Linked DNA regions of Xenopus tropicalis. The protein of the gene in region 1 interacts with the protein of each later gene in a biochemical or structural test. Links are inferred from orthologs where the notes say so. Each region holds a gene or a part of one and is shown in the gene's direction. Other genes may lie near its edges.

Region 1 (3,895 bases):
ATGCATGTAAGAACCATCTTATTCAGCAGCAGATTCAGTGTAGCCTATTGCTCACAAAGCTTACATTTTGCATCATTGTGTGGCCCTAGATGGGCACAGCCATCATAGCTGGCTTTGGAAAGGGCCACTGAGTTTTAGCTAGATCTGTCGGCCCAATAAGCTGACGGCTCACTCTGTAAGACCAGACTGACCATCACTGACCCCAGCAACCAAGGAACCCATTGTAAAGTTCCATCTAGCATACGTTAAACGTGAACAAGCCCTTTAACTGTAACTTAACTTTTAGTATTATGTAGAGAGTGCTGTTTTAAAGCAGTTTGCAATTTTTTTTTTATTGGTTTTGGAATAAGCTATTTGTTCTGAAACTTTCCAGTTTGGAATTGTAGCAGCTATCTAGTTGCTAAGGTCCAAATTACCCTAGCAACCAGACAGTGGTTTGAATGCGAAACAGGAATATGGAAGGTATGGGGGACAGAATTGAAGCATAAGTAATAAAAAGTAACAATAACAATACAATTTTAGCCTCACAGAGCAGTAGTGACCCCCCATTTGAAGTTGCTGACTCTGCAGTTTTTTGGGGTTTTTTTGTATAGAGCCCCTTATAGAAGAGATGGTAAAGGCAAATTGGGCTCCCCCCAAGTGTGGTCACTTTGACTAGCAGTGACGGTTGGTGGCAACAATTGCTAGCCAGCCTGGCCCATATGTGTGCTGCACAGAATAGAGGAATGCCCCAAAATAGAGACAGATAAGGCTGCTGCCTCTTTCCTTCCTCTAGTTCCGTATCTCTCTCTGCTGTAGCCTCCCAACTCTGCTGTCTCTTTCCTTAGATTGGTAGCACTAGGGACTGTCTGTTTCCTTACACTGTCTGTATGGCTGTCACATAAACTCAGCCCGTAGCAGTCTCCTTATAACTAAGCCGGCTATAAGCTGTCTGTCTGTGGTGGCATTTAGTTCTTCCTCTTTCTCCCGTCTGTCGTGGCGCCAGCTATGAGCAGTAATGGCTGCTGCTAAGTGTCTGTATTTCAGAGCTCAGTAATAGGTCTCTGGATAATAGATCCCACCGCTGCATTTGCTTTAATTAGCCTGTCTGCACTATGGTACTTAAATGTTTGCATTGTTTTACTCCATGGGGCACAAGTTGAATATCTGTGAGTGTGAGTTGGGGCCTGTCTCAGTAGTGAGCTGTCTCGTTCCTAACAGTCTGTGCTGTCTCGTTCCTAGCAGTCTGTGTGCGTCTCTGCACGCTGGGAGTTGTAGCTTCCTCATTCCGACTCCAGAGCAACTCCCTGCCTTCTGCACAGGTTTCCTGTCATATTCAGCCCCGGAGCATTCCATTGCTATTTACTGAAGGAATGATAAGCAGCCGTGCACCAGGTGCTCCAGCGCTGCCCTCAATGTATAACCCACACCTTGCTCAAAGCCAAGAAATGCCATAGGGATTGGTCACTTCCTCAGCCTGTCAGTCATGCTGGGCTCTGTAAGAATAGCTATTGGGGCCACTAGTAGCCATGCTGGGCTCTGTAAGAATAGCTTTTGGGGCCACTAGTAGCCATGCTGGGCTCTGTAAGAATAGCTATTGGTGCCACTAGTAGCCATGCTGGGCTCTGTAAGAATAGCTATTTGTGCCACTAGTAGCAATGCTGGGCTCTGTAAGAATAGCTATTGGTGCCACTAGTAGCCATGCTGGGCCCTACACATACAGTAGCCGAGCCATAACCCCTGATTTCCTCATGTGTGAGTACAATGCATTGTGGGAGAGCAGGGCCAGTTTGGCAACACTGCACTGTACTTATAGCCCCCCCCATGAGCCTCTGGCAGGGATCGTTGGGAGTTGGAATCCATTAAGGCGAGTGGTTGGCTAGGCAGTATAAACCCTGTACCAGCGCTTATCATTGGCTGCTCACACGTGAGCCAGTGCTGTTGATCTATAACTTTCTGTGCCCTTCATTTATCCCTCCATTCATACTGCCTCCAGTGTGCATTTTCTCCTTGGTTACCTCCATTTGTTTCCTCATTAACCCATTCATCCTTTTGTGCTCTTTCTACAGTGAAAGAATTTCTGGCAAAAGCAAAAGAAGATTTTCTGAAAAAATGGGAAAATCCAGCACAGGTAACAAACCCTTATTTGGCTGGGGTTGTTGGGTGGTAATGAACCAAGTTTATCAAGGTCTTGTAACCTTTGGCAACCAATCAGGTGTGCGCTTAAAAACAGTAGATATGTATATTTAACTCTTTATTGATTGCTAAGAGTATGTGCAGGGTTTCCTACAGGAACTGATTGTGTTGCACAGCATATTGCTTCATAAAACTGCCAAGAAGCTGTGCAAAAGAACTGCAAGGTAAGCTTTCTAAAGGCCCCTGCTGCCTGGCCTTCTACCACTGGTAGTCAGTCTGAAATGTAATCATTCCTATCTTCCCACAGTCACTCTGTAGGGTCCAAAGGAAAAGATCTGTTTATATTTCATGCTAAACCTGCCTCAGTCTGTTTGTTGGTGCAGCAGTATCACTTCTCCCCCTGTACCTCTCTTGCAGAACACAGCTCACCTGGAACAGTTTGAGCGCATTAAAACTCTTGGCACTGGGTCATTCGGGCGAGTAATGCTGGTCAGGCACAAAGAAAATGGCAGTCACTTTGCTATGAAGATCTTGGACAAGCAGAAGGTATGGCATAAATATTTTCTGTTTCCATGTGTGCAGGGGTCCTTTGTTTAGAGGTGTACCCCACTATAGGTTTGTAGGGGGAATCCCAATCAGTAATTTCCAGTTACTCATTCCGTTTGCCCCACCAGGTGGTGAAGTTGAAGCAGATCGAGCACACTTTGAATGAGAAGCGGATACTGCAGGCTGTGAATTTCCCATTCCTCGTGCGGCTGGAGTATTCCTTTAAGGTACAGTGGGGAGTAACAGTAGGGGAAGGTGGGTGGGGCTGGCATTGCAGGATGTACAATGACTTGGTGGGCTAAAAGGGAATAGGTGGGGAGTTTATAAAGGATTCAAACCTTTCGGGTCTTTAGACTACAGGTATGGGACCTGTTATCCAGAATGCTCGGGACCTGGGGGCTTCCGGATAAGGGATCTTTCTGTCATACCTTAAATTTACTAAAAAGTCATTTAGACATTAAATAAACCCAATAGGACTGTTCTGCCCCCAATAAGGGGTAATTATATCTTAGTTGGGATCAAGTACAGGTACTGTTTTATTATTACAGAGAAAAGGGAATCATTTAACCATTAAATTAACCCAATAGGGCTGTTCTGCCCCCAATAAGGGGTAATTATATCTTAGTTGGGATCAAGTACAGGTACTGTTTTATTATTACAGAGAAAAGGGAATCATTTAACCATTAAATAAACCCAATAGGGCTGTTCTGCCCCCAATAAGGATTCATTATATCTTAGTTGGGATCAAGTATAAGGTACAGAGAAAAGGGCATCATTTTTTAAAATTAGACTCCATTATAAGCAAATAATTCTATGGGAGATGGCCTTCCAGTAATTCTGAACTTGCTGGATAAAGGGTTTATGGATAACTGATCCCATGCTATACAACAACTGAGGGCTGGCATTGCTCCTGGAAGTGCAGAAAGACTGGCACCCCCATATATAAATAAGGCATGGCCAACATCTTCCATTTTGTGCCAGCAGCTATCCGTATGACATCCCATATGTATACTCTGAGAATATCTAACAAGTTGTATATAATATGTTGTCACTTTATTTACTCCATCTCCTTCCCTTTTGATACAACTCCCTCTCTGCACTATCCTAAAACTGGCCCCGCGATACCCAGCATCCTTAGGAACAGCTAGCTGGGGATGCTGGGAGAAGTTTAGAAATACAATAAGGCTGCTGGTCTGTATTGTGCAGTGACAGCGTAATGCACTCTAGGACTTAT
Region 2 (4,503 bases), on another chromosome or scaffold:
ATTGTGAAAGCTGCCACAGGATTGTCCCTTCTTGCCCTCCCTAGCTTCTCTCTCCTCAGCATCCTCCATGGACAGGCCCTACACCAGGTACCACAAACCTAACCATATGCTTATTGGCTGCTATCCTGACACACAATCTGTCCTCTGGTACTTTTGCTGCTTTGCCACATTCCAGGACCACTGTAAACTTTGCTACGGAACCTTTTCAATGCTGCTCTGTAGGTTAAATATGTCTAGTTCTATGTCTTCTTGTCTGTATAATCCTGGGCAAACATAAACAATGTTTACATTTTCCCTGTGCTTGACTTTGTGCTTTTTTTGTACACTTTTTTGGGGAAAAAGACAATCTTATCAGTTTCATGGTCCTTGGAAACCACTCTGCCACTGATGCAGTGTGAAGGTGCAACCGTGCAATCTTTCCCACACTGGGATTTGGACTGAAATCTAAACTTGAAAATAGTTATTTCGTCACTATCTTTCTTAAGGCTAATAGCACATGGGTCATTATATACTGGAAAAATCAAATCGCTGTGTTCCATATAGGCACAGAATCAGATATACAGAGGATTTAACAATGTATACTCCTGTATTCTGTAAAAAAAATCAGTATCTACACAAGTGCATGTATTTATAAAAACTTTTTTTTTTTAAGATAGATTGCCAAGACCAAAGCATTGGTTTTACAGGCCTTAATCATGGAGATTTTGATTGGTTAGGTTTGTTGATGTGGCCTGTACCTTGACGACCTGCTTGTACTACATTGTAATTTGTTTGGCCCAAGGTTGGGATGTGGCCCTTACCCCAATGGCCTGCTTGTACTGCATTGTGAGCTGATCGTTTCAGCCTGACATCACTTATATCAAGGTGGGCACATTGGTAATAGATCCGCTCGTTTGGCAACCTCGCCAATGTTTCTGACTCCTGCTGCTATTATGAGGCTACCTAACTTCGTAGCGTTGCTCATCTAGGGGTTTTTGTGCTCCCCACAAAGATTTCAAAGCACTTAAACTACTGAGCAGGTCTGGCGTTGTGCACATCTGCCTGGTAACTCCTAAATTATGTTATGTGGTCTTTTTGTGCCCCTTCTGCCATGGTACACCCCCTGAGACCACTTTAGGCAGCAGTGTTCATGCTGGAGGAATGGGAGGCCGGTGAACTTTGGAGTGAGGTTGTAAGATAAACCTGGCTGATGCTACTGGGAAACTGCTGCCAAAGAGGAAGAGGGAGGAGTCAGCAAAACCTGACAGCCTTACCTATCCTTCCTCAGAAAAGAAATGTCCTCTTACAGTTATTCATCATCTGTGATTCAGAAACACAGAGGCAAATAGGGTTTCCTCACCCCCCACTCCCCCCCCCCTTCCATGCAGTGCTGTGTTTTGTTGTAACTTGACGCCCTCTGTTTCACACTAGAGCCAGGGTAACAGTAATTCCTTCACACCTCCCCTATTCTTTGCTAGAGGGAGGGGGGCATTCACTCGTTGGGACAATAGGGTCTTAGGCGCTTCCATTTACAATACACTGACTAAGCAGCAGTCCGTGATGATGTCGCAGCCTGCACCAGATATGGAAGCAGGGAGGATCCTGCCTTCCCATAAGCTGAGGCGGCGCTGATGTCACATGCCGTGTTAGCCCGGGGAACACTTAAATAGCGAGGCTGTGTGTGAGAGAAACAGAAGGGAATTACTCCTCACTGAGAGATAGCCAAAGCCTCTAAACTAAGCCCAAGGGACAGCTTGCAGGGAATATTCCCTTGTTTTACTCAGAGGATCTTTCAGCAGCTCGGCACTTCTACCAAGTAAGTCAACATCGTGTGCTTCTGATACTGCCACTTCTGTGCAGTTGGTCTATTTGTGAGGACCTGCTGACAGCTGTAAATTCATAGGGACACAACATCCTGCTCACTGCTTAAATACCTTAATGGATCGATATTACGTGACTGGAGTCAGGAATTTACTTTTTGATTTAAGTGACCTTGGAATTGTTTAAGTCTTCTGAATAGTTAATACATTTCATAAAAAAATAGATACTTTTAATATTCTGACAGCTACGCTTTGAAAACGAATGTGTGTGTTGTTAATGTGCTGGGCTGCACTATGTTCATTGACACCCTTTCACTGCTGGTGTCAAAGTACTGTAAAGTAGATGCAGCTTTATCCACACTACTATTAATGTTATTATTAAATAATCATAGTGCTGACATATTAAGCAGCATAAACTGGGTCCTGGAACAAAACCGTGTTTCTCTGACTTTTTACCATTAAGTGGCTGCACTGCAGAATTTACTGAAAACATCATGTAAACTTCTCACAAAGTGTTAGCTCTTTCTTTTATAATATCAATAATGGACAAATGGAGCTTCTTGTGATGATGTGCCCAACAATTTCACATAGCAGCAAGAAAAGATAGATCACATATAGTTAAAACCATAAGGATTTAGTAATAATGACGGTACTATATAAGAATCTCTCAGAACTACAATTCCCAGTTTCACACGAGGAACACCAAAACATGCCCATCGCCGTTCTGTAGTGATTATAATCTAAGTGTTAAAAAAATGAAATTTCCAGAATTCCTCAGCAGTTCCAAAATGGAATGTTTCTGCTACAATGTTTGAAAGGGGGTTAAAATGAGAGTGCAAATTCCTGTCCTGCAATACATTCAGAAAGCTTTTAATCATGTGGTTTTAGGATTATCGCTTTTCAAGCCTTGAAAATGTGTCAGTACAGGCTGACTATTAACGTCTTGTGTGTGTCTGTTTTGTTTCCCCTACACTTAGAAATGACCCTCAACCGAAGTGACCGGTTTAAGAGCCTGGAAAAGAGGAGAGGCAGCATGCCATTCTCTATGCATCAGCAGCTGCACAGGAGAAGCATGCCCGTGGATGATAAGGAACTGCATGGCAAAACCCCGGCATCTCAGCTATCTAGCTTGGTCCGCTGCCCCTCGTACAACCCTTCAGATGAACATAGAGAAAGCTGGGCATCAGATTCCTCTGACTCTGTCATCTCCTCTGGCAGTGACTCTGAGGATCACGTGTACAAAGTCATCCTGCTTGGGGAACATGGAGTGGGAAAGTCTAGCCTGGCCAGGATATTTGGGGGTGTGGAGGATTTACATGATGTAGAAGAAGCAGGTGAGAATATTATTGAGACCAAGGAAATGTGTGTTTGGAAGAGAAGATGGAGAATTCGATTTATAACCAGACATGCACTAAAATGCACCTAAATGGTTTTAGATCAATATTTAGCCATCAAATCTAGTTAATAAACTTTACAGTGCAACCATGGCATACACATATATTATTGACAAATGTATATGTAAGTCTGTAAAGTTATGAAACCCCCAATTTGATTCTTTTTCTTTTTCATTCCCAGGAAATACATATGACAGATCTATTGTGGTGGATGGGGAAGAAGCCTGTCTTTTAGTCTTTGACATTTGGGAACAGGTATGTCATTTCCCACTATTTTCCACTATAACTACTGGTTTGGAAAGTGTTCTATTAAGAGAAACATTTCAGCCCAGCAAGTAACAGTATTCATAGGCATACAAAATTTAAATCCTATAACTTTTGTAACTTTCAACTTTACATAAAATAGATTGCTTAAGAATATAGATATGAATCAGACTTAAGACATTGTGGAATAAAGGACAGCTGTGACTTTCAGCTGTAACATCAGCATACATTGGAGAACTTTAGATCAACTTTTAGATAAACTTTAGATTGACCGTTAGGGCTGTAGAATAGGAGCTTTAAGCAACAACCTCGTTCTGGGAGTTTCACCTCAGTCCACACCACTGTTTTATTGCAAGGGCAAGGAACATTAACGCTAATAATTAGTAATTAAACCTTGATGCCAGTATGTAAAGAATAATGATTCTATTTTGTTGTTTTCAGGATGACAATCACTGGCTGCATAACCAGTGCATGAAGATGGGAGATGCTTATGTTATTGTTTATTCCGTTACGGACAAAGCAAGTTTTGAAAAGGCTTCTGAGCTCAGAATACAGTTACGAAGAGCAAGACAATCAGAGGATATTCCTATAATTCTAGTTGGCAACAAAAGTGACTTGGTCAGATCACGAGAAGTATCAGTAGAAGGTAAATTCATAATGATATCCATGCACGGAAAGCTCAATATAATATATATGTGTAAACATTTACTATGGGGATGAAAGTAAAATGGGTCAGTGAAAAGAGTTGGGAATATTAGTACTTTTAAAGTAACTTTTAAAGAGGTAAAATTAGCAAATATATATTCACCATTTTATGCTAAGGCATTTCCCAGAAATGCAATAATAATATCCCAGAGCAATAATACCAATAATAATAGATTTGCTGCATACTATACATGTTCCCTATCTATCAGTCCAGTTCTTCTTTGGCTTGGTATATAGTTTATACTGTAAAGAGATGCTGACCATATTATGGATATGATCATTACTTACAGTGACATTATATAGCACAAAGAAATATTTTTAATTATTAAGGACAACAGAAA
Region 3 (3,895 bases), on another chromosome or scaffold:
AAGACAATCCGTATAACTACTTAAGCTTAGTTCTGCAACCTACTCTTTCCCTAATGAGTCTCATCAAATGTAATCGCTTTAATTCTAGGCCAAATTAGGTTTCATTTTTTAGAAGGGACAATGTGCTATATGCACAGTAAAAATATTCCTGTAGGAAAATTGTTTAGTTGGCTGGTGGGCAGGCATTGTCAGTTTAACCTCCACTAAATATTTTTTTTTTATAAACCAAAAGAACTGCTGAGTAAAACAAAATGTTTCCACTTATTTAGATGTCACTTTCCTGTCTGAAGAAAAAGTGTATGAAATTCTTGAATTGTGTAGAGAAAAAGAGGACTACTCGCCTTTAATTCGGGTGATCGGGAGAGTATTTTCCAGTGCAGAAGCTTTGGTTCAGAGTTTCCGAAAAGCAAAGCACCATACAAAGGAGGAGCTAAAATCCTTGCAAGAAAAGGATGAAGATAAGGATGAAGATGAAAAGGAAAAAGCTGCATCATCTGCTGCTGCAATGGAAGAGGATTCTGGAGCATCATCCTCAAGGTTAAGTGACAACTCACAAGGAGACAACAACATACAGAAACTAGGCCCTGAAGAAGTGTCTCTAGATATAGAAGCAGTTCGACGGGTGTATCACAGGTTACTTTCTAATGAGAAAATAGAAACTGCCTTTCTGAATGCACTTGTGTACCTTTCTCCTAATGTGGAATGTGACTTAACTTATCATAATGTTTATTCACGAGATCCCAACTATCTCAATTTGTTTATAATCGTCATGGAGAATGGTAATCTCCATAGTCCTGAATACCTGGAAATGGCTTTACCGTTGTTTTGCAAAGCAATGAGTAAATTGCCATTAGCAGCGCAAGCAAAGTTGATCCGTCTTTGGTCAAAGTACAGCGCTGAGCAGATTCGCCGAATGATGGAAACATTTCAGCAGCTTATAACCTATAAAGTTATAAGTAACGAGTTCAACAGTCGAAATTTAGTCAATGATGATGATGCTATTGTTGCAGCAACAAAGTGCTTAAAAATGGTTTACTATTCAAATGTTGTTGGTGGAGAGATTGAAACTGACCATAATGAAGAGGAAGATGATGAACCTGTTCCTGAGTCCAGTGAGTTAACTCTGCAGGAGCTGCTAGGGGAAGAACGAAGAAACAAAAAAGGCCCTCGAGTAGATCCCCTTGAAACCGAACTTGGTGTTAAAAGCATTGATTGCAGGAAACCTCTCATCCCTTTCGAGGAATTCGTTAACGAACCACTAAATGATGTTCTAGAAATGGACAAAGATTATACTTTCTTTAAAGTAGAGACTGAAAACAAATTCTCTTTTATGACTTGCCCCTTTATCCTGAATGCAGTTACAAAGAATCTTGGTCTGTATTATGACAACAGAATCCGCATGTACAGTGAAAGGCGAATAACTGTTCTGTATAGTCTAGTGCAAGGACAGCAACTTAACCCCTATTTGAGGCTCAAAGTACGGCGAGATCACATCATTGACGATGCTCTTGTTAGGGTAAGTTTTATCCTAAATCTACTAAAGAATATCTATAATTGTCTATTTGCAATGTATTTTGTATACATAATATATATAATAATAATAATACATAAATATATTTAATAATAATGTACAATCTAAAAGGATCCTTAGTTTTAATTTTATGATAATATATTCACTTCTGCTAAGAATACTGTGTACAACTCCTGACTGTTAATTCTCAGAACAGACACAAAATTTAAAGGAGAACTAAACCTTAACTAAACAAGCAGGGCAAGATTGTTGTACATTATGTTTTGGGCTTCTGTACCAGCTCAAGGCAGCTGCACCCCTTTAGCAGGAAGGATCCGTGCCTACTTTATTTAGGCTTTAGTTCTCCTTTAATAACTGCTCAGAACTCAGGGCTAACAAAATCCAAGAAGGGGGAGCTCCTTGGACAACTTTGAAGGCCTGGATTATTACTACTTTTGAGATGCTGAAACTTTAGGCTGATGCAGTAAGTTTAGTATATAAAATTTGGCATTTCTATCCATATTTATTTGAGGGTTTTGTTTTCTAATGTTGAAAAAATACATTTGAATTGACCTTATGTCTCTCCTTAAGTTACTATTTTGTTTGAAACAGAAGTCACAGTTTTTGTTTCTGTGTTTCAGGTGTCAACAGGCATTTTCTGTTGAATCAATTTAGGGCAGATAGCACAAGAAAATGAAAGTTATTTAAAAGTGTAGTTCTTCTTAAACCATGAATGAATGGTCAGTTCAGTCATTTTTAGTTTGGTTTTTTTTTCCCTAAAAATGCTAAAATCAAATCCACTTGCCAGTTCTATGCAGTCTGTTTTGACTCTTTGCTTGCGAGTTCTGCAACCAGATGGTCACTGAACACTTCTACATTTTTTGCTGATTACCTTCTAATTAGTTGAATGTGGCTGTGGAACAACTTACTGTGATCTGATGAAAATCAACAAGTTAAGGTGGCCAGATTTTATCTGCCTGTGTATGGCAGGCCTTCATGACCAGTATCTGGCCAAAAATCGGCATCAGCTCAGTGATGCAGTCCTCTCTCCGACTACTCATATCCCCTTCATTGTAATGTGATTGTTTGGCCCTAGGACATCGCATTAGCATGATATTGCCCACCCAAGGTGGTCATATTGGGGAAAGATTTGACCTGTAAATGATTCAACAATTATTTACGGTATATTTACCAATCTAATTATGTTCCCTATGTTTTTCCTTAGATTTTGTGGTTTTTCGTGCAGCTTCCTGTAAATGCTTACAGTCCCTCCCTTTGGGCGATGACACACAAGAAGACTAGTCACCATCCCTAGAGATTAATCTCCTCAAATGCTTTCCTACCTGGTGAGAATGTAAATCTCTGCTAGGAAAACATATGCGTCCCTTTAGCTTTCTGAAGTCGCTCGAAATTTCCTCACAAGGCGTCTTGAAAAGCCAACGCAACACATATATTTTCATACAGGGCAATTTAAATTCTCGACAGGTAGTAAAGCATTCAAGGAGATTAATTTCTAGAGGTGGTGACTACTCTTGTGTGTCTTCTCCTTTATACATGCTGATTCCAGTTAGAGCACTCTTCTCAGTGCTAGACAAAGTTAATACTTTTGACAAGTGTAGTGTTACTTTCTAAGAAGGTTTTTTGTTCCTCTACTGCCCTTGATCATACGATCACCTTTGTCCTCTCGCAGATAATCACTGTGATCATTATGGCAATCTTATCTCACAGCAACTTCCCATATACTAGTCTATGGAAAATGCTTCCCACAGTGGGTGATTGTTGCTTGGGAACAAGGAAAGCAGCTTTCCTGCCAAAGACATTGCTCATGAATGCAGGAATCAACATTTAAAAGGGAAGTCCACTCAAAAATGATTTCTTTGTTTACATTGTGAAATTAAAGTACTCATTTAATGCACAGTGGAAAGCGGTTTTTGTCATTTAGAAATCAACTGTTCTCCATCCAAAATGGAAGTGCTTATAATCCCAGGAGCAAGGTCTTGCAGGTCTATTAAATGGGCCCACCCTAAAAAACTGTTTTTTTTTGCCAGTGGTTTTGAAGATGATGTAATTGCGTTAATGGACTTTAATCACAGAACATGCAAGGCACTATGGGAATTGGAGAGATGACTTGTGCCACAATATTGCAATGGTACAATTAGTTAGTGACGGGCTGTGAAGGATAGCACTGAGTGGAATTTTTGTCAGGTTTTGCCCCCCAAAAAATGCCCTTAGACTCGTATAGCTGCAAAAAAAGTTGGCAGAACAGATTAGTTCAGTGCTAGCGATGGATCATAATACACAGATAATTAAATTAGCATAGTGGTATCTAACATATTGGCACCCCACAATGAATTCAGCTTTCATTTTCTTTTAAAACAGAACCCT
Region 4 (4,594 bases), on another chromosome or scaffold:
AAAACTATTTGTGGGAGTGCTGGGGCCCCAAGTTATGTTCCAAGATAGTGACATCTGGGATAAACAATTGTTGTTAGTCTTAAATACTCTTGTAACTTTAGAACGATCACTATCACAACAAGGTAAGTTCCCCCAAGCAAAAACTGAACCATAAAGGGGAAATAGAACTGAAGCCATGAATCCTGAAATCATCTTATTTAGCTCAGCTAACCTGGGTAGGAAAGAGTTTAAGTTTGTTTTTTCAGGACCAGTGTATATTAAACTACCACGTAGCACTTGTCACTGCCTGATGAACTGAAGAAGCATGACTGCTGAACTAACCTAACCAGTCTTCACTTTGCCCGTAAGCAATACACAAAACTGATGATAATTACAGTTGCAGATGTAAATATTGTTATACAAATTGCAGGACACAATTTAGTATTATTACCCTTTGTTTATATAGTGCCAAAACATTTACACTGCACAGTTATTGTGTCTAATTCACATAATTTCCTGATCCTTGATCCCAATTAATAAGAGAAGAAAGGTAAAAATATGCAAAGGCTGGTATTTTCTCCAGAAACGTGGCAACCCTAAATGGAGAATATCAGTGGCATATCTAGTGTGCACCAGTCCCACCACCACAAAAATATCTTCAGAGGCTGCTTCCTATATAGTTATAAAGTCTTCCCATCCCGCTTGCAAGTATCAGAGGGGCTGGGGAGGGAAGACTTTGCAACTATATAGGAAGCAGACTGCAGTCTGCTTTCTCTATATTTACACCACTGAGGTATATGTCAACGGCCATGCGCCCCAATTGTGCTCCTTGTAGTCTACTGTCTGTAGTCTGCCCTATTGCTGAGTATTTTGGGTGCATTTTCCATGGCAAGGGTTAGCTTTAAGCCAGGTAAACAGAGAGCAGGATAACTCCAAAATATTTAATGCATTAACAGGTCTCACACAAAGGGGCATAACTAAAAGGGAAGCTGGAGGCCATTTGGACACTGACTTAAAAGGCATGTGTACCTTGAATGTGAAACATTGAGGTTTGCTATGTTCCTTTTATTATGTTTCAATAAATATTGACTTTTTACACCTATATTCTAAATCCTGTGATTGCTGACATTACTTTTACTATACTTTGATCATACGGCTCTTGCACCCAGGTCCTGACTCTGTTAGTGGAGTGCACCATTATGTCCTCTGACTATATGATTATATACGAAAAATGTTAAACTCCCAAAGTACTTTTAGTTATGCCACTACAGACACACTAAATTCACTGCAGTGATGCACAGCACTTCATTTGCAGTTAAAAAGCTATTATTTTTTCATGGCTCAGTCAGATCAAAAATACTACACACTACTCCCAATTTCATCAGGAGGCAGAAGCCAGGTAAGCTGTCTGTGTGCTTTTCCAACGTGTAAGGAAATGAGAGGTTTATCTGTTGGATTTATTGCCCTTAATGTCTTGTATGTGTAAGGTTGCTGAGCACTGAAATGCTTTCAGTGCTCAGTGCTACCTTTCACAACAGTTTGCATAGAAACTACTTCACGTTTAGCCTTGCAGCATGGAGGGAATTCTCCAGCCAATCATTAGTACAGGACTCAGAGGGTCCCGCCCACACAGCCGAAAAACAGGAAGAGGAAGCAAAACAAGGGGACAGGGAGAAAAGCAGTACTGGAAGACAGAGGCTGCTGGAGAGATAATATCAGAATCCAGGGGGAAGCAGTGTGCAGCCGTCTGGGAGTTGCTTCCTTCAGTTTCCTGGACGTTTTGTGTGTGTGTACAAGGCATCAGCAGCCAGTGTGAGCCTGTGCAGCAGCCGGACAGCCATCTTGACAGGGAGAGAGAGCTACAGTGAGAATAGGAAGCAGGGTTCCTTCTGAACCGAGTTATTTAACCCCTACCATGCCAGTGACACTGGGATTTCTGCAACCAGCCATTTAGCTGTGAGTCTGTGTTAGGTCTATGGACTGGGGAGTCCCTATGTTGCTGGATGTTTCCACAGCACTCGGAAGTGTCTCCATGATTTACTATAGCTGCCGCCTGCTAGGGTTCCATTGAGCAAGTGGAGCAGCTGAGGCGACTTCAGGGATTAAACTGTGAGCTCATCAGCACTCCAGCAGAGTAAGTAGGGCTTCCAGCCCAGCCTTTCACACATCTGACTGCACCCAAGGGAAGCCCTTACTGCCGTCACAGTGGGACACAGGAGAGCTGCTACCTTGGGGCAAGTTGAGCAACTTACCTTAGGTGGCAGCACCCGACAAATTGCCAGGGGTGGTAAAAAGACTCCTGGTAACTTATAAAAATCGGAATTTTAGTGCAGAGATCACTATTATGCTCTCTGCACTAGTGATTCAGCCCCCATCAACTTTCTCCAACGCAAAAAAAAAACAAAACATGGGGGGGGCTGGCATCACCTTGGCCGCCCCAGGTTGGCACTGAGCCCGAGACGGCGCTGCATCTGCATCCTGTGTTTCCTCCACACTAACAGACAAAACTATTTTCCCTAGTATAGCTTTCAACACATAGCAGAATCTGTCTTTCCAGAGAGCCTGTTGTTTAGGCTGCTGGTGCCATTTGCAGCACCTTAAACTCTCGTTAAAGGGCCCCACCCCGTTAGTATGCACTATAGCCAGCTGACAAGGAGTTGGGAACTTAGGTGTGCGCACAAGGAAGTTGGTAGGTTCATATAAGTACTGTTCTCAAGGTGTTGTTATAACCTTGTCAGTAAGGTATTATGCTATCTGACCACTTCCGCCTATATCACTGTGTAACCAAAGTGTCAGTGTCTGGTTTGACCTTCTCAGTTCAGCCAATCATACCTGATGCCTGCTAGTATGGATGTCACCTTTAAATTCACCTTTAGTTTTGTGTAGACAGTGGTATTTTGAGGCAATTTACAACTAATATTCACAATTTTCAGTTCCTTTTTTAATCATTTAGCTTTTTGTTTGTTGGACTAAACACTAAAAAGGTGGCCATACATCCTTTAGACAGAATCGGAAGCTTATTTGCCCATGTATTAGCATGAACGACGGGCCAGATCTCGATCGGGCAGATTTGATTTTTCTGTTAGATCGGGGACCACATTGGCTTGTTAATGTGGTCCACGAACCTAAGGCGCCTATTCCCACTGTTTTAATTCCATTGTTTGGCTCTAGGGCCAAACAACTGAATTAGCCCGATATCACCCACCCCATAGGTGGGCATATCAGGAGAAGATCCACTCTCTTGGCAATCTCTCCCAAACACTGTAGCACAGTGCAACAAGTGAGTGTATTCACTAAACAAAAGGTGTGGTGATTGGTCATTGTACTTCCTACTTTAATATGAAGCTTTTTTTTATATAGGTATAATTTTATTAACAACAGACAGACATTTATGCCAAACATTTGCAGAATACATTAGTTTTAGTTGGTTGGCCAGTGATACAACCATACTATGTGCAAATAGAGATATGCATATCACTTTGGTTATAGTACATGTTATGTAGGTTCAGTCCAGTCCTGCTTCAATCCACGGGGTCCAAATCAGGTCAAATTTAGTCTGTGTTCCTCTCGCTTCTGAGGTAAGATTAATTAGTGGGATTGCCTGGTTTACCAGTTGTTTCCATGATTTTATGGTCAGTAGATGTGGTCCCATCCAGTGCATGGCAATATGAAGCTTTTTAATGCTTAATTTATTAAATATAATTTTGTATGCTAGAAAAAAAGAGCTACTTTCTGTATTCTTTTTAATCCAGATTCATCCTCCAAAAAAATCAATGTTCCTTCCCAAATATTTTACAATCATTGTCATCAGTCTGAAAAATGATTTCATTTTTTAGGTTCTTGTAGTCCTATATCTCATTACAGAAGTGAATAACGCAAGCATTCACAAAATCATAGGCTGTCCTTGAAGAAAAAGAAGCCAATAAACTATATATAGTTTCCCTAGGTAAATTAAACACCCTCATAAAAAGTTCCCACTGAATTTAAAAGCGCAAATGAGGCATTGGAATTAAAAAAAGCCTTAACTTCTGCCACATTTAGTAACCCGTAGCAGCCAGTAGAAGCTACCTTGCTTGCTATGGGTTACTAGACAAATATCAAACACTGTGACAGGACTGATGCTGTTACATTTTAAATGAGACATGTGGAAACAGCTTAGGTTTATCAAAATAGAAATTAGCAGTATATATGTATGTATAACTCCCTGAAATTATTCTGTTCTTTTTTAGATGGCAGATTCATCCCCTTCAGCAGTTTTCAAGTTAGAGGAATTCGATAATGAGGAACAGGGATTACCTTTGCCTTTTGTGGATCCCCCTCGTGGGGCAGGCGTTCGACAACCTGTAGCTAAGAGTTCTCCCAGCCTGCGAAGATACCCAGGTGATCTTCTGCCAAGAAAATATGTATTTCATCTTTCTTCATAAGCATTATGCCATCTGTAATATTGAAATCTGACTTGCTATAAGATAAAATATATAGGCAGGCAGTGACTTCTGGAAAGTATGTTGTAAATGTCTTAGTGATAAATAAAGGGTAATAATAACAGTGCTGCTAGCAGCCGTTTTAAACTAGTAAGTGAATTATAGCATATACTGAAATAGTTGTACCCCTGTAA
Region 5 (4,456 bases), on another chromosome or scaffold:
CTGCACTGGTAAAACTGGTGTATTTGCTACAGAACGCTCCTATAGTCTATATATAAATAAGCTGCTGTGTAGCCATGGGGGCAGCCATTCAAGCTGGAAAAAAGGAGAAAAGGCACAGGTTACATAGCAGATAACAAATAAACTCTATAGAATACAATCACATTTTATCTGTTATCTGCTAAGTAACCTGTGCCTTTTCTCATTCGAATGGCTGCCCCCATGGCTACACAGCAGCTTTGCTTATATAAACTATAATAGTCTTTCTGAGGCAAACACACCAGTTATACCAGTGCAGGGCAACAGTGCATTATATTGTAATTACTTTAATATGCTTTCATATTTTGATGTTACTGTTCCTTTAAAGTTGGCCATACATGGCAAGGTCACTAAACGGGCAAATCTTTCACCCGATATGCCTACCTTGGGTGGGTGATATCGTGCCCCATCACATTGCAATGAAGGGGATAGGAAAAGCCAGATCAAGGACCACATCAATAAGCCAATGCAGTCCCCGATCCTGCAAAAAATCAAGCACGTACAATCAACATCTGGATCATTTTTGGCCAGATATCTGTTGGGGGGGTTCTGTCGGAGGGTCCCATGCAGGGGCAAATAAGCTGCAGAGTCGGTCTTAAGGAACAGAATTAGCATCTGAAATCTGGCCCCGTATGGCAACCTTAAGTTGCAATGGAAAAATAGTTACACCAGCACACCCTTACCTCCTCCAACAGGTTAGCTACTTGGTGCACGGCCCAGAGAGTCCGCACTCTCCGCAAAGTCCAGTAAAAATGATTTCAGCCGGCACAACAAGTAAAGTGCAAGTGGGGTATAACCCCTGCGTGTTTATTCAAGGCAACGTTTCGGGGGCGAACCCCTTCATCAGGCCACCTAATACTCAAGGTGGCAAGTACACTATAGCGTCATAAGCACTTCATGAAACAGCTCCGATTTAAAAAGAAGAAGGGCGACAGGGTAACGTTATCTGTTCTAGAATCGTAATAAAACTATCAGACTAACCTGTAAAACATGAAAACTAAACTGATAGCTTTAATCACAACAACGGCACTGTTCATTCAGCCAAAGCAGCCAAAGCACAGGTAAGGTCGCCGCGGGTAACCAAAGCCCGTTTCTCATAATTCCCACACTCACCAACCTTAACTGCCTGTTAGCTCTGTAGCTTTACTGCAGCCTGTGCAAGTTGTCGCATCAGTAGATACACGGGTTTCCGCTTACAGTGTCGGAAAGGGGTATTGGGAACTGTAGTACAACTGCAGCAGAAAGGTTTTACTAAGGCCTAACTTCTGCGCCTGCCCAGATTCCACCCTGCGCTAGCTCCGCCCCGCCCTCTGCTGTTGGCTGCCTAGTCTGTCGAGGCCTTCCTCAGTGTCCTGTCGGAAAAGAGCCCGCCGCCCTGACGCCGCGCCCGGGCCTGAGCTTAAGAAAAAAAAAAACTAGCGCCACCACAAGAGGAAGAAGAGAGAGCAAGAGCAGCAGTGACGCGGCGGAGGTGTAGTTTGACGCGGTGTGTTACGTGGTGGGGAAGAGAATAAAAAAAAGCCCAGCGAGATCCCAGCCGCGAACGAAAGCAGTGACGGAGGAGAGGCAGTGTAACCCGGTAAGAGGAAGGAGGAGGAGAGGGAGAGGCATGGAGGAAAAGAGATGGAGCAGGCCTCACCGCCGGCTGCTTTCACAAATACCCAGGCGGCAACTGATTGTAGGGAGGGATTTCTGGGGGCTGCCAAGAACAGCGCGCCGGCTTTTCCTTCGAGCTTGCTTTCCCGCCTGTCATGGTTCCCCTTTTTACCCCCTTAGATAATACAGAATGTTTACCCCGCCATAGTAAAAATGGAGACCGTGCGGAGGGGGTGAAATAAAGAGCCGCGAAACAAAGGATAATGGCGGCCGGGAGGAGGCAGCCGGCGGCGGCAAGAGCTGGGGTGTGCGATACAGCCACAGGGGGTCACCGGTGGGGAGACCTCCGCAATCTTTCACTGTCGCGACAGTCAACGGTGCTTATCACGACACATATATATATATATATATATTATATATGTGTGTATGTATATATATATTTTTTTTTGTGGCTTGTTAGATACATGCGACTAGTATCGTTCATGTTTTCCCGCAATATAGTCTTCATTCAAAGGGGAATATTCATGATGCGATGAACGAATTCTTCTTTTCCTCCCATATTTTTTAACACTACTTTTTAAAGTTAAATTTCTTTTTAAAGTTTAACGTGACTCTTAGGTTATTATTTATAAACAATGCTCCTACCTGCGGCACTCCAGCCGGGGTCGAACTAAAGGTCCTGTCAGGATGAGCTGAGGGCTGCATATTAGTAGCTGAAGGGCCGCAGGTTGGACTTGAGTGGCTCGCTAGTTGGTACAGAGGGAAAGCAGGCAGGTCTTTTTGCTGAGCATGACTTCATTTCGAATTGTTAGTGGGTTCCTGAAATATCTGATCGTCAGGGTTCACCAACTGTCTGCTCTTCTGGCAGCAATGGGTAGATATTTTTATTTTTTTACTGTATATTCTTACCCCAGCTCCCGGGCATCCTTCTAGTCATGGTTTAATAGTTGTCCACTGGTTGGGTAACAGCAGCATCAAGGGTCAGTGTAGACTGGTGAGGGTGAGCTCTTTGACCAAGATTACCAGAGGGAGGTTCCACTAATCCTGCTTTTAAAGCTTCATATTTATGTGACCCTTGTTCTGCAGTTTTTTTTATCCTGTGTTGAATGTTTGAAGCTCTAAAAACAGAATTGGCCCCAATGTCTCTCTGGCAGTCTGTGTATGTATTTTGACACATTTTTCATGAAGAAATGAAGATTGTAACATTTCAGAGATTTCCATGTTTCATCCAAGACTGGTACGGTTTTCTTGTCCATATATTTTGTTGCACTGCAATCCCTTATTGAACTTCCACATTATTTCCCTCATGCTTGCTCATTACTTTTTGTTTGATGAAAACATCTGGACAGTGAGAATAAAATTTGTTTATAATAGATCTTTACATTTTGTTTTATTTAGTATTGTCTACTTAATGCAGATCTGCATTTAAAGTATGTCAGGTATGATTAGACTTCAAAAGTATGAAATCTACATCACCTTAGTAATTGCAGGGAAGCATTAAAGCACAACTTTTGTGGTACTCAAACATTCTGCCAAGTAGAGGGCTAAGGACCCCAGGTTCTAGAAAGCTGTAATTTGTATTGGTCAATTTAGAGACCCAAGTTCTAGCTTGTCCGTTTGGGGCTAATATGTGAATACCCAAAGCACTCATTTACACACAATTAAACTTGCTAAAACTTCATTGCTGGTACCCTATAACATGGCTTCAGGGGGGTTGGTACATATTAGTGTGCTCGTTAATTCTAACATTTATAAGTGACCTGATATCGCTTAAATATTAATTGATTTAATTTGAATGCAGACAAACATAGTTTGGCTTTATTTGTGATATTTTAATTTAAGGCTTAAATATTTCAGTAATTAGAATACTGTTTTATATTCTTGGTTAATGGCAAACAGTTATAGACTTCTTTAGAGATGTTTTTAAACACCAAGTAAACTTTACAGTGCATATAGATGGATTTCAAAGGGTTCCCCCCCATAAGAATGCTGTTTTTCCCTTGAAATGCAATAAAGTTAAAAACAAAAATGCTTGCATTTTATTTTTTGTATTTGTGTTTTGCTTATTCAGTCACTTCCTGTTAGGCGGGATAGGTTGTTTTTTTTTCCCAACACTTTGAACATTCTCCTGTAAGTCTGCCTTTTCAAAGCCCCTTTCCAGAAACCCCAAATAAGCTGCATGCGTATTTTTTTTTTTTTTTTCGTTATACTCTAGTTATTGAACACTTTCATAAATAGGCAGAGATCATCATACACTTAAGCTCTGAGGTATATTTCAAAGTTGTTTTCATTTTAATAATACATTAGATGAAAACTTTCTTTTTATGCAAGGGCTTTGCAGGTTTTCATTTTGATTACTAAAAGGAAAACAAAACTGATAGAAACACTATGAGGGTGACACATACCTCTCCCATCCTAGTATAATAATGCTGTTAAAAACCTGTAGCTGTGGCCTTTTATTATAGTACATAATAATAGAGAAATGTCTTGTATGGCAAATTCTAGTATATACCTTTGGCATATTTTGCTGAGTGAATCCCAGTCTGTCCATAAGATAAAATAAATCTAAATAGCAGGAAATAAATATTGTATAATGAGACGCTTCCCTGTCTTAAGGCCTGTGATATGTCATATATATAAGTGTGCAAAAGTAGCACAGAAATGTTGAGCTGCTTTTCACACAGCACATTGCCGTATAGAAGTAAAGCGTATTTATTTTGCTGTGGACGGTCTGCAAATCTGCATAAATAGAACAGAAAACAGTGCATATAGTATATGTCTCTGAGATTTATATGTTCTTCAGCAATTGTATTAACACCTCCTG
Region 6 (3,895 bases), on another chromosome or scaffold:
CTTTTCCTGATATGCCATCCCTAGGGCCAACAATCGAATTGCAATAGCAGACATAGACGCCTTCTGATCGGAGACCGCATCAACGAGCCGATGTGCTCCCTGATCTGACAGAAAATCAAGCCTGCCTGATCGAGATCTGCCCAATTTGAGGCCAGATATCCATCGGGTAGGCATCGGGGTGCAGATAAGCTGCCGAACCGGTTTGGACCAGAATCGGCAGCTGAAATCGGCCTGTGTATGGCCCCCTTTAGACTTCACTTGCAAACAGTGTGCAAAGCTCATAAATACTCACTTGAAAAGACACATTGCTATTCAGACATTTAAACAATTTGTACAGATGAATACAAATCCTGCAATAAGTGTATTATCTGTGATTTAGATGTTTTAACGTGACTTTACAAAATATTTGTATGCAAACAGCATTCAGCCCCCCCCCCTTTTGAGCACTAACAGTGTTATGTGTTTTGAGTTCCAATGCATACCGGCTTTACACACAATTTAGGTGTAATTTTTGGTGTCACATTTTTTCTGGCACATGTTCTCTGTTATTCAGGTCAGATGACACTTGTGTTTCAGTTAATTAGTCTGAGAGATACTCAGCTGGCATGACCTGGCATAGCTCGTTTGCATAATGGCTTCTTTTGTGCCACCCTACTTTAAAGGAAAGTGTTTATGCAAAACACTTAATATCGCTGATGCAGACCTACAGTGAAGTGAGGTGGCGATGCATAATGCTGTTGGACTGCTTCTTATTCTGCACATCTAGTTAAAACAGAAGGAAGCAGAAAGTGTAATTATATCCTATGGGAGGCTTCCAAAATCATGCATTGAAGGTTGAAAGTCAAAGTTTTTTGCGGCGTTTATGATCGTTCGGATACGAAAATTTCAGAACTTTCGGATTGCGCCACGATATTTGCGTACAAACACAATAGGAATTTTCTCACAATTAACACACATCCAAAATTATTGTATTTATTCCGAATTTTTGCCAATCATACTTTTAATTAGCCGAAATTCGGACTTTGATAAATCTGCCCCTGAGTGAAAAAAAGACCCCTGTCCCTTTTAAAGGAGTGGTTCACCTATAAGTAAACTTTTAGTATGTTATAGAATGGCCAATTATAGTTTTTGAACAATTTGCAGCTTTTAAATGGGGGTCACTGACCCTGTGAGGCTACAATTTTACTGTTACTTTTTATAACTTTTTTTTCTATTCAGGTCCTTTCCTATTCATGTACCAGTCTCTCCTTCAAACCACTCCCTGGTTGCTATATAATTTGGACCCTAGCAACCAGATAGCTGCTGAAACTCCAAACTGAAGAGCTGCTAAACAAAAAGCGAAATGACTAAAAAGAACACCGTTTTATTGCAGGATTTGTTGTTCATTAAATGAACAAATTGTTTCAGTGTCTGAATAGCCATTGTTGTCAGATAATGTATGTTTTTTCATTTTCTGCTGTAAGACACACTGGCATAGTTGGTAATGGCCTACAAGATAGCGGTCAACTTATGGGCTCTGTTTGACTTAACTGATGGCTGTACTTTCATAGCTCTTTACCCAGCTGTTTATTAAGGGAAGTGAAAAATTTTTTAGCCTTATTGATCATTCTAATCATCACTTTACCATCATCATAGTATTTGATTTGTTCATTCATGGTTTTTGTCATTTGCACATTTATTTTATTTATTTTTTTATTGTCTGATTGATTCCTTCCATTCTTTATGGTCATTTTAGATAAACCATTACCAGGGCTCAGCGCGTATTCGAATATCCCTAGTTACTAAGGATTCTCCACACAAACCTCACCCTCATGAGTTGGTAGGAAAGGACTGTAAGGATGGATATTATGAAGCTGAACTTTCCCCAGATCGTAGTATTCACAGGTAATGATTGGTTTGGTTACACTTCTGTTCAAAGGAATTGTCAGCCCCAAAAATAACTTTTTGCTTAATTAAACAAAACTTAATTCTAAGCAATATACATTCATTACTTCATTCATTCATTATTTTTTTTAGTTATTTGTATATATAATTGCTATTAAAAGCAGTGTCTACCTGTCCTCTCTAGTCTCTGCCCTGGTGGCTCTGGCACTTGAAGCAATGTAACACAAGGCAGCAGACTGACAGACCTTGTCATGATATAGGCCTGTAAGGGTTAATCAAGCAGGCCAAGGTATCCCAAAATCTTCCAGAAATGTGCCAGAAAGAGATATATAACAGGCCTCTGGTCACTAGGGTCTGGAACCAGCCATGTGTAAAGGCCTCGCATCCTGAAATGCCCAACTCTAATCCCTGGCTGATAAGAGCCATGCCATGTGGGGGAGTGAAAGCCCACGTGGGGGTGACTTAGAGTTCACATTGGGACCCATCATAGGTGATGTGGAGGTCACACCATAACCCAAACTCACAAACATTTATTGTCCCAGAACCCATACTATTTATACTAGAGGTACCAAAACCTGAGTATATGTTTCATTTAAGATGGCCTTTCATACGGGTCCAAACATCACTGGATTTGGGCACTTGGTTTGTCAGATAGGAGTATCTGGGCAGGGGCAGGTCACACAGTGGTGATGTTTAGTCTGTATGGGACCGGTGGGATCATTAAGAATTGATGAATCTAATTTCATCATGTTCCCACAAGGAGTTATGGACATTGGTATCATTGGACAAGTCCCATACACTCAGTCCATACACAGGAGGCCATAAAACTCACACTGTGTCCTGCTAATGGTGACACCCCTTGCATTCCTGAGGGAGGGGGGAGTGTCCAGTTACCTGATCCCCCTGCAAACTGGGATAAATAGTCAGCTCTTCTGAAGATATTATGTGGAGGACCAATTTCTATTGGAAGTTTATCCTGTGGTTTCCCCTTGCCTCCAGGACTAGAAGGACTTTGCTTGGTATAGTATAGGACTTCTATATTTTTCCCTTTTTATTTTAAAACTGTTTGTACTTGTTTTATCGTATGTCCTTTGTTGTAACATCTTGTTTTAAACTTGCACTGTTATACTTTTTATAATATTAAATATAAAATTTAATAAGTTTGTCCTTGATGCTCTAAAACGTACCTAACCTCCGAGTGTGTAACTGTGTTGTGTGCCTTAGCCCTCTGTATGCTGTGTGCTGATTAACCCTTTGACTGCTGGTAAGGAGAGTGTGTGTGTCGGTTCTTTACATTAACCCTTTCTCTACCAGTGTGCTTGGCATCTCTCATCGCCAGTGTAAGAAGTATGAAAGTGGTGGCAGCAAGTTGTGTATGAGTTTGTGAGCGTTGGTTGGTCTTTGGGGTGCTGTGATGCTAGTCTGACCTGTGTGTCAGGTGTGTGAGACTGAGCAAGGGACCCTCTAGACAGCCACGCCTACAGTCACGTGCATCTGAAGTGGCGTAATCGTGACAGACCTGCCTTGCTGGAGGAGCCTGGCACATGCAATTTTGTTAAAAAGTAACAACCAGGATTTCGGCAAATGCTGCTTTCAATAGCAATTACGTTTACACAACTTTTAAAGTAGTAATAATTTTTAACGAATTGATATTGGAAAGTTGCTTAGAATTATGTTTCTAATTTATTAGGCAAAAACATTTTTTGGGGGTTGACGTCCTTTAAGATTAAAAAAAAAAAAATGCTCTTTAGTAGTAATGTCTCTTAAAACATCAGCATTCTCTAAAATGTTATTATTATTGTTCCTACGCCAGGTTAGTACCGCTTTTGGTGTGTGTCTAAAACAGGGGTTCACAGACTTTACAAGTGTATGGTTCTATTTTGTATGCTTCATCTCTGTGATCTAGTGGCCATCAGCTCAAGATCTACATTTTGGGCATCCGTGCTTAAGGCTATTGCCACACAGGGTTGAATCTCGCCCTGCAGATAAACACGCTACATCAGCCTTTCCC
Region 7 (3,895 bases), on another chromosome or scaffold:
GGCTTGGTTCTGTAGGACAGCAGGCTGGTTCTGTAGGACAGCGGGCTGGTTCTGTAGGAGAGTGGGCTTGGTTCTGTAGGAGAGTGGGCTTGGTTCTGTAGGACAGCATGCTTGGTTCTGTAGGAGAGTGGGCTTGGTTCTGTAGGACAGCATGCTTGGTTCTGTAGGAGAGTGGGCTTGGTTCTGTAGGACAGCATGCTTGGTTCTGTAGGAGAGTGGGCTTGGTTCTATAGGACAGCATGCTTGGTTCTGTAGGAGAGTGGGCTTGGTTCTGTAGGACAGTGCAAGGCTTTCTGTAATAAATACCTTCTTTTCTAACAGCTGTCAGAAGGGATCAGAGAAAGCCGCCACCCAGCGGTGCCAAGCCAGACAGAGGTGAGTGGCACATATACTGTGGGGAGCAGATTAACCCATGTAATTAATATTACTAAGTTGCTACTGTCAGACTATACCGTTGCTATGTTTAATAGGCAATAGTGCGATTGCATAATGATTATTACATTCAATGTGTGGGTGCTCTGAGCTGATCTTGGTAGCCCCTATATGGACTGGCAGCCTACAGAAAGCTCTGTTTGGCAGTACTTCAGGTTTTATGCCTCCAAAACTTGCCCCTAAGCCAGGAATTAAGAAATAAGCACCTACTTTGAGACCACTGGGAGCAACATCCAAGGGGTTGAGGAGCAACATGTTGCTCACGAACCACTGGTTGGGGATCACTGGTCTAGAACAACCAAATGCACACAGCTGCCACGGGCTGAATATTACAGCTGGCTGAGAAGCCACAAGTGTTGCAGTACCAGGCTTGTTTCAGGTTTCCTAGTTTCATGATCAGACCCCATTTGTCTAAATTGTCATGTAGTTCTCCTCTCGTTCAGTTCTAATGCAGTTTTACCCTTGTTGCAGCAGAATCGCCCAAATCTGGTGAAAGGAGCGGGTACAGCAGTCCTGGATCACCTGGCACACCAACTGGACGTTCTTCTTCACAAACACCCCCAACCCGGGAGCCCAAAAAGATTGCTGTCATTCGCACCCCTCCCAAATCCCCAGCATCTGCCAAGAGCCGTCTGCAGCCAGTCACTAGCCCAGCAGCCATGCCTGACCTGAAGAATGTGCGCTCAAAGATCGGCTCAATAGACAACATTCGGCATCAGCCAGGTGGCGGCAAGGTACCAGGGAAGCAGATTTGGCAAAGGCCAGAGATTTATGGTGCAGTAGATCAGAGGATATATAATTCCATAAACCACGATAGAGCTCACTGCCCTCACCCATATTCCTTTCCTTGTATAATGTACTTACCTCTGTTCTTTTTTATACAGGTGCAGATAGTTCACAAGAAGATCGATTTGAGTAGTGTGCAGTCCAAGTGTGGGTCAAAGGACAATCTGAAACATATGCCAGGGGGAGGCACAGTAAGTGGCCCCTCTTTATACACAGCTATGCAGACAATGAAGATAAAGCAACAGGGCACATGATGAGCAGGGAGCGACACATCCTTACTTGCCCGCTAACTTGCCGGTCACCCAAGACGCAGAGAAGCCTTGTACTTACCACCTTTCCTATGTCAGGCATTAAGTACAGGCTCTGTAATAAGCACTAAGGGTTACAATTTTGCAAGCTTTAGTGCTCTTGCAGTTGCAGACGGGGCTTCGCTCAAAGGGGCTGTTCACTTTTAAATTAAATATGTTGTAGAGAGTGCTCTGAAAATTTTCAACTGGCCTTTATTTTTCATTACTTGCGGTTTTTTAATTATTTAGATTTTTATTTAGCAGCTATATGGTTGCTATGGCCCAAATTTGCTGCCTCAAGTTCAACCCTTCCAAGTAAACACAGCTGTACTTGTATTTAAGGGCAATAAACCTTACTGCTGACTAACGCAGGGAGTTTAATGTGCTGTGTAGCCATATTGTACAGAGGCAGCAGGGTTCTTATTGAGGGAGCTCTTGTATGAAGTGGGCCACTGGCCTAGAGAGCTGCTAAACTTTAGCAATCAGGTGACCTATTAGATTTTGCTCTCTCTCTCGTTTGCTCGTTTCTAACTCTGTTCTCTCTCTCTTCTGTCCACTTTCAGATACAGATAACTCACAAGCCGATCGACTTGACACACATCACTTCTAAGTGTGGATCTTTTGGCAACATCCACCACAGACCAGGTACCGCTGGCCACACTTATTCATAGCCTCGCCCAACTTGTGCCCAGTTTTAAAGATAAGTAAACCTTAAAAAACAAGATGATGTGAAATTGATGAAAGTGTTATTCTAGGCACATTTGCAATTGATATTCATTACTATTATTATTTTTAAATTCCATGATATTAAGAGTTAAAGAACTGTTAATATGAATGCACACATTACCACCTGCTGGTTCCTTTCTGAACACTAACCTTCACTAACCACTGATGTACAAACCCAGATTGCTAACTGCCTCCTGGCTATCTCCTCCTGGATGAACCAATGCCACCTCAAACTTAACCTAGCTAAAACAGAGCTCATGGTCTTCCCGCCCAAACCTAGCCCTTCTCCTCCTTTAACCATTACTATTGATGACATGACCATTAACCCTGTTAAATCAGCACGCTGCCTTGGGGTTATCTTTGACCAGTCACTTTCCTTCTCTAATATGGATTGACAGTGTTATTAATTAACACTGCCAAAACCTGAGGGGAATATTGCCAAGATACGCCCCTTTCTTTCACAAGTTACTACTAAAACACTAATCCATGGCCTTATCCTTTCCCGCTTAGATTACTGCAATCTCCTACTAACCGGCCTCCCGGACTCCCACCTCTCTCCCATACAATCCATCTTAAACTCTGCTGCCAGGATCCTCCTGCTCTCTCCTAAGAGGAAACCTGTTTAGCCTCAACCTCAATCTCTCTAGCATGGCTGCCTGTTAAGCAAAGGATAGCTTACAAAATCCTTCTGCTAACATTCAAAGCCCTTCACTCCTCTGCTCCTCACTACATTTCTTCACTGGTCTCCCTGCATGTTCCTGGTCATCTCCTCCGCTCCTCTCGGAGCCTCAGTCTTTTTACACCATCCACACCCACTGCGCTCTCTCGTCTTAAACCTTTCTATCTCGCTGCTCCTTACCTCTGGAACTCTATCCCTGAATCGCTCCGTAGGGAACACTCACCCACTCTCTTTAAGAAAAAGCTCAGCTGTTACCTTCTGGAGCCCTAAAACATTATTTTGCCCAGTCCTGGGCTCAAGGGCAAATGCCTGTACCTGGTGCACTCTTACCTTCCTATTTGTGCCTGTATGTTACCCAACCACTTAGATTGTAAGCTCTACGGGGCAGGGACCTCCTTCCTACTGTGTCTCATACCACATGGCACTTATTTCCTGTCTATTTATATATATTTATTGTATTTATTATAACATTGTAAGATTGTACAGCGCTGCGTACCCTTGTAGCACTTTATAAATAAAGTTATACATACATACATACATGCAGTAGTTGAGGACGTTGTTGAGGAACTTATCAGGAGAATGAAAAAGGTCTTTTCTGATGTTCTTTTGGTTTGGAAAAACATTAGAAACTTCAGATAACTTTTTCCACATCTTTCATAAAGAGAGGAACATCAAATCAGCCCTTTTAATTTCTCCTGACAACGTCCGTGACTACTTTGTGTTTGGAAACTGACCAGCAGGTGGTGCTGCTGTAACAAAATGCATTCATATTAACAGTACTTTAAACCCTTAATATCTTGGATTTTTAAAAAAAAAAAAAAAAAAGTAAATATAAATTGCAAAAGTGTTCAGAAAAGCACTATCACCGATGTTACATCAATTTTTTTTAAAAAGTTTAACAGCATATTGTATGCTCAAAATAATGTCCTTCTTAACTGATGTCTGATTGTGACTTGTTCATGTATCTTCTGGGCCTGACAAGGGA

The links.
Region 2: of the proteins of prkaca (region 1) and rrad, one has a biochemical effect on the other in vitro, tested with the Homo sapiens proteins (2 studies listed by BioGRID). The link is inferred for Xenopus tropicalis from reciprocal best matches to the Homo sapiens genes PRKACA and RRAD.
Region 3: the proteins of prkaca (region 1) and ube3a form a complex in vitro, tested with the Homo sapiens proteins (2 studies listed by BioGRID, with this or other methods). The link is inferred for Xenopus tropicalis from reciprocal best matches to the Homo sapiens genes PRKACA and UBE3A.
Region 4: the proteins of prkaca (region 1) and bad form a complex in vitro, tested with the Homo sapiens proteins (2 studies listed by BioGRID, with this or other methods). The link is inferred for Xenopus tropicalis from reciprocal best matches to the Homo sapiens genes PRKACA and BAD.
Region 5: the proteins of prkaca (region 1) and creb1 form a complex in vitro, tested with the Homo sapiens proteins (2 studies listed by BioGRID, with this or other methods). The link is inferred for Xenopus tropicalis from reciprocal best matches to the Homo sapiens genes PRKACA and CREB1.
Region 6: of the proteins of prkaca (region 1) and rela, one has a biochemical effect on the other in vitro, tested with the Homo sapiens proteins (4 studies listed by BioGRID and IntAct, with this or other methods). The link is inferred for Xenopus tropicalis from reciprocal best matches to the Homo sapiens genes PRKACA and RELA.
Region 7: of the proteins of prkaca (region 1) and mapt, one has a biochemical effect on the other in vitro, tested with the Homo sapiens proteins (9 studies listed by BioGRID). The link is inferred for Xenopus tropicalis from reciprocal best matches to the Homo sapiens genes PRKACA and MAPT.

What each region holds. Positions count from the first base shown.
Region 1 is NC_030679.2:134,187,155-134,191,049, reverse strand, and holds part of prkaca (cAMP-dependent protein kinase catalytic subunit alpha), read left to right. Parts: intron 1-2,048; coding exon 2,049-2,110; intron 2,111-2,532; coding exon 2,533-2,661; intron 2,662-2,789; coding exon 2,790-2,888; intron 2,889-3,895.
Region 2 is NC_030680.2:67,036,159-67,040,661, reverse strand, and holds the start of rrad (GTP-binding protein RAD), read left to right. Parts: upstream 1-1,665; 5' UTR 1,666-1,795; intron 1,796-2,776; 5' UTR 2,777-2,778; coding exon 2,779-3,133; intron 3,134-3,374; coding exon 3,375-3,448; intron 3,449-3,898; coding exon 3,899-4,103; intron 4,104-4,503. UniProt on the Homo sapiens protein: May regulate basal voltage-dependent L-type Ca(2+) currents and be required for beta-adrenergic augmentation of Ca(2+) influx in cardiomyocytes, thereby regulating increases in heart rate and contractile force.
Region 3 is NC_030678.2:113,354,995-113,358,889, reverse strand, and holds part of ube3a (ubiquitin-protein ligase E3A), read left to right. Parts: intron 1-269; coding exon 270-1,516; intron 1,517-3,895. UniProt on the Homo sapiens protein: E3 ubiquitin-protein ligase which accepts ubiquitin from an E2 ubiquitin-conjugating enzyme in the form of a thioester and transfers it to its substrates.
Region 4 is NC_030680.2:35,248,403-35,252,996, forward strand, and holds the start of bad (bcl2-associated agonist of cell death), read left to right. Parts: upstream 1-1,608; 5' UTR 1,609-2,113; intron 2,114-4,208; coding exon 4,209-4,359; intron 4,360-4,594. UniProt on the Homo sapiens protein: Promotes cell death. Successfully competes for the binding to Bcl-X(L), Bcl-2 and Bcl-W, thereby affecting the level of heterodimerization of these proteins with BAX. Can reverse the death repressor activity of Bcl-X(L), but not that of Bcl-2.
Region 5 is NC_030685.2:49,782,906-49,787,361, reverse strand, and holds the start of creb1 (cyclic AMP-responsive element-binding protein 1), read left to right. Parts: upstream 1-1,481; 5' UTR 1,482-1,615; intron 1,616-4,456.
Region 6 is NC_030680.2:38,474,887-38,478,781, forward strand, and holds part of rela (transcription factor p65), read left to right. Parts: intron 1-1,735; coding exon 1,736-1,884; intron 1,885-3,895. UniProt on the Homo sapiens protein: NF-kappa-B is a pleiotropic transcription factor present in almost all cell types and is the endpoint of a series of signal transduction events that are initiated by a vast array of stimuli related to many biological processes such as inflammation, immunity, differentiation, cell growth, tumorigenesis and apoptosis.
Region 7 is NC_030686.2:17,258,425-17,262,319, forward strand, and holds part of mapt (microtubule-associated protein tau), read left to right. Parts: intron 1-321; coding exon 322-375; intron 376-903; coding exon 904-1,166; intron 1,167-1,316; coding exon 1,317-1,409; intron 1,410-2,068; coding exon 2,069-2,150; intron 2,151-3,895. UniProt on the Homo sapiens protein: Promotes microtubule assembly and stability, and might be involved in the establishment and maintenance of neuronal polarity.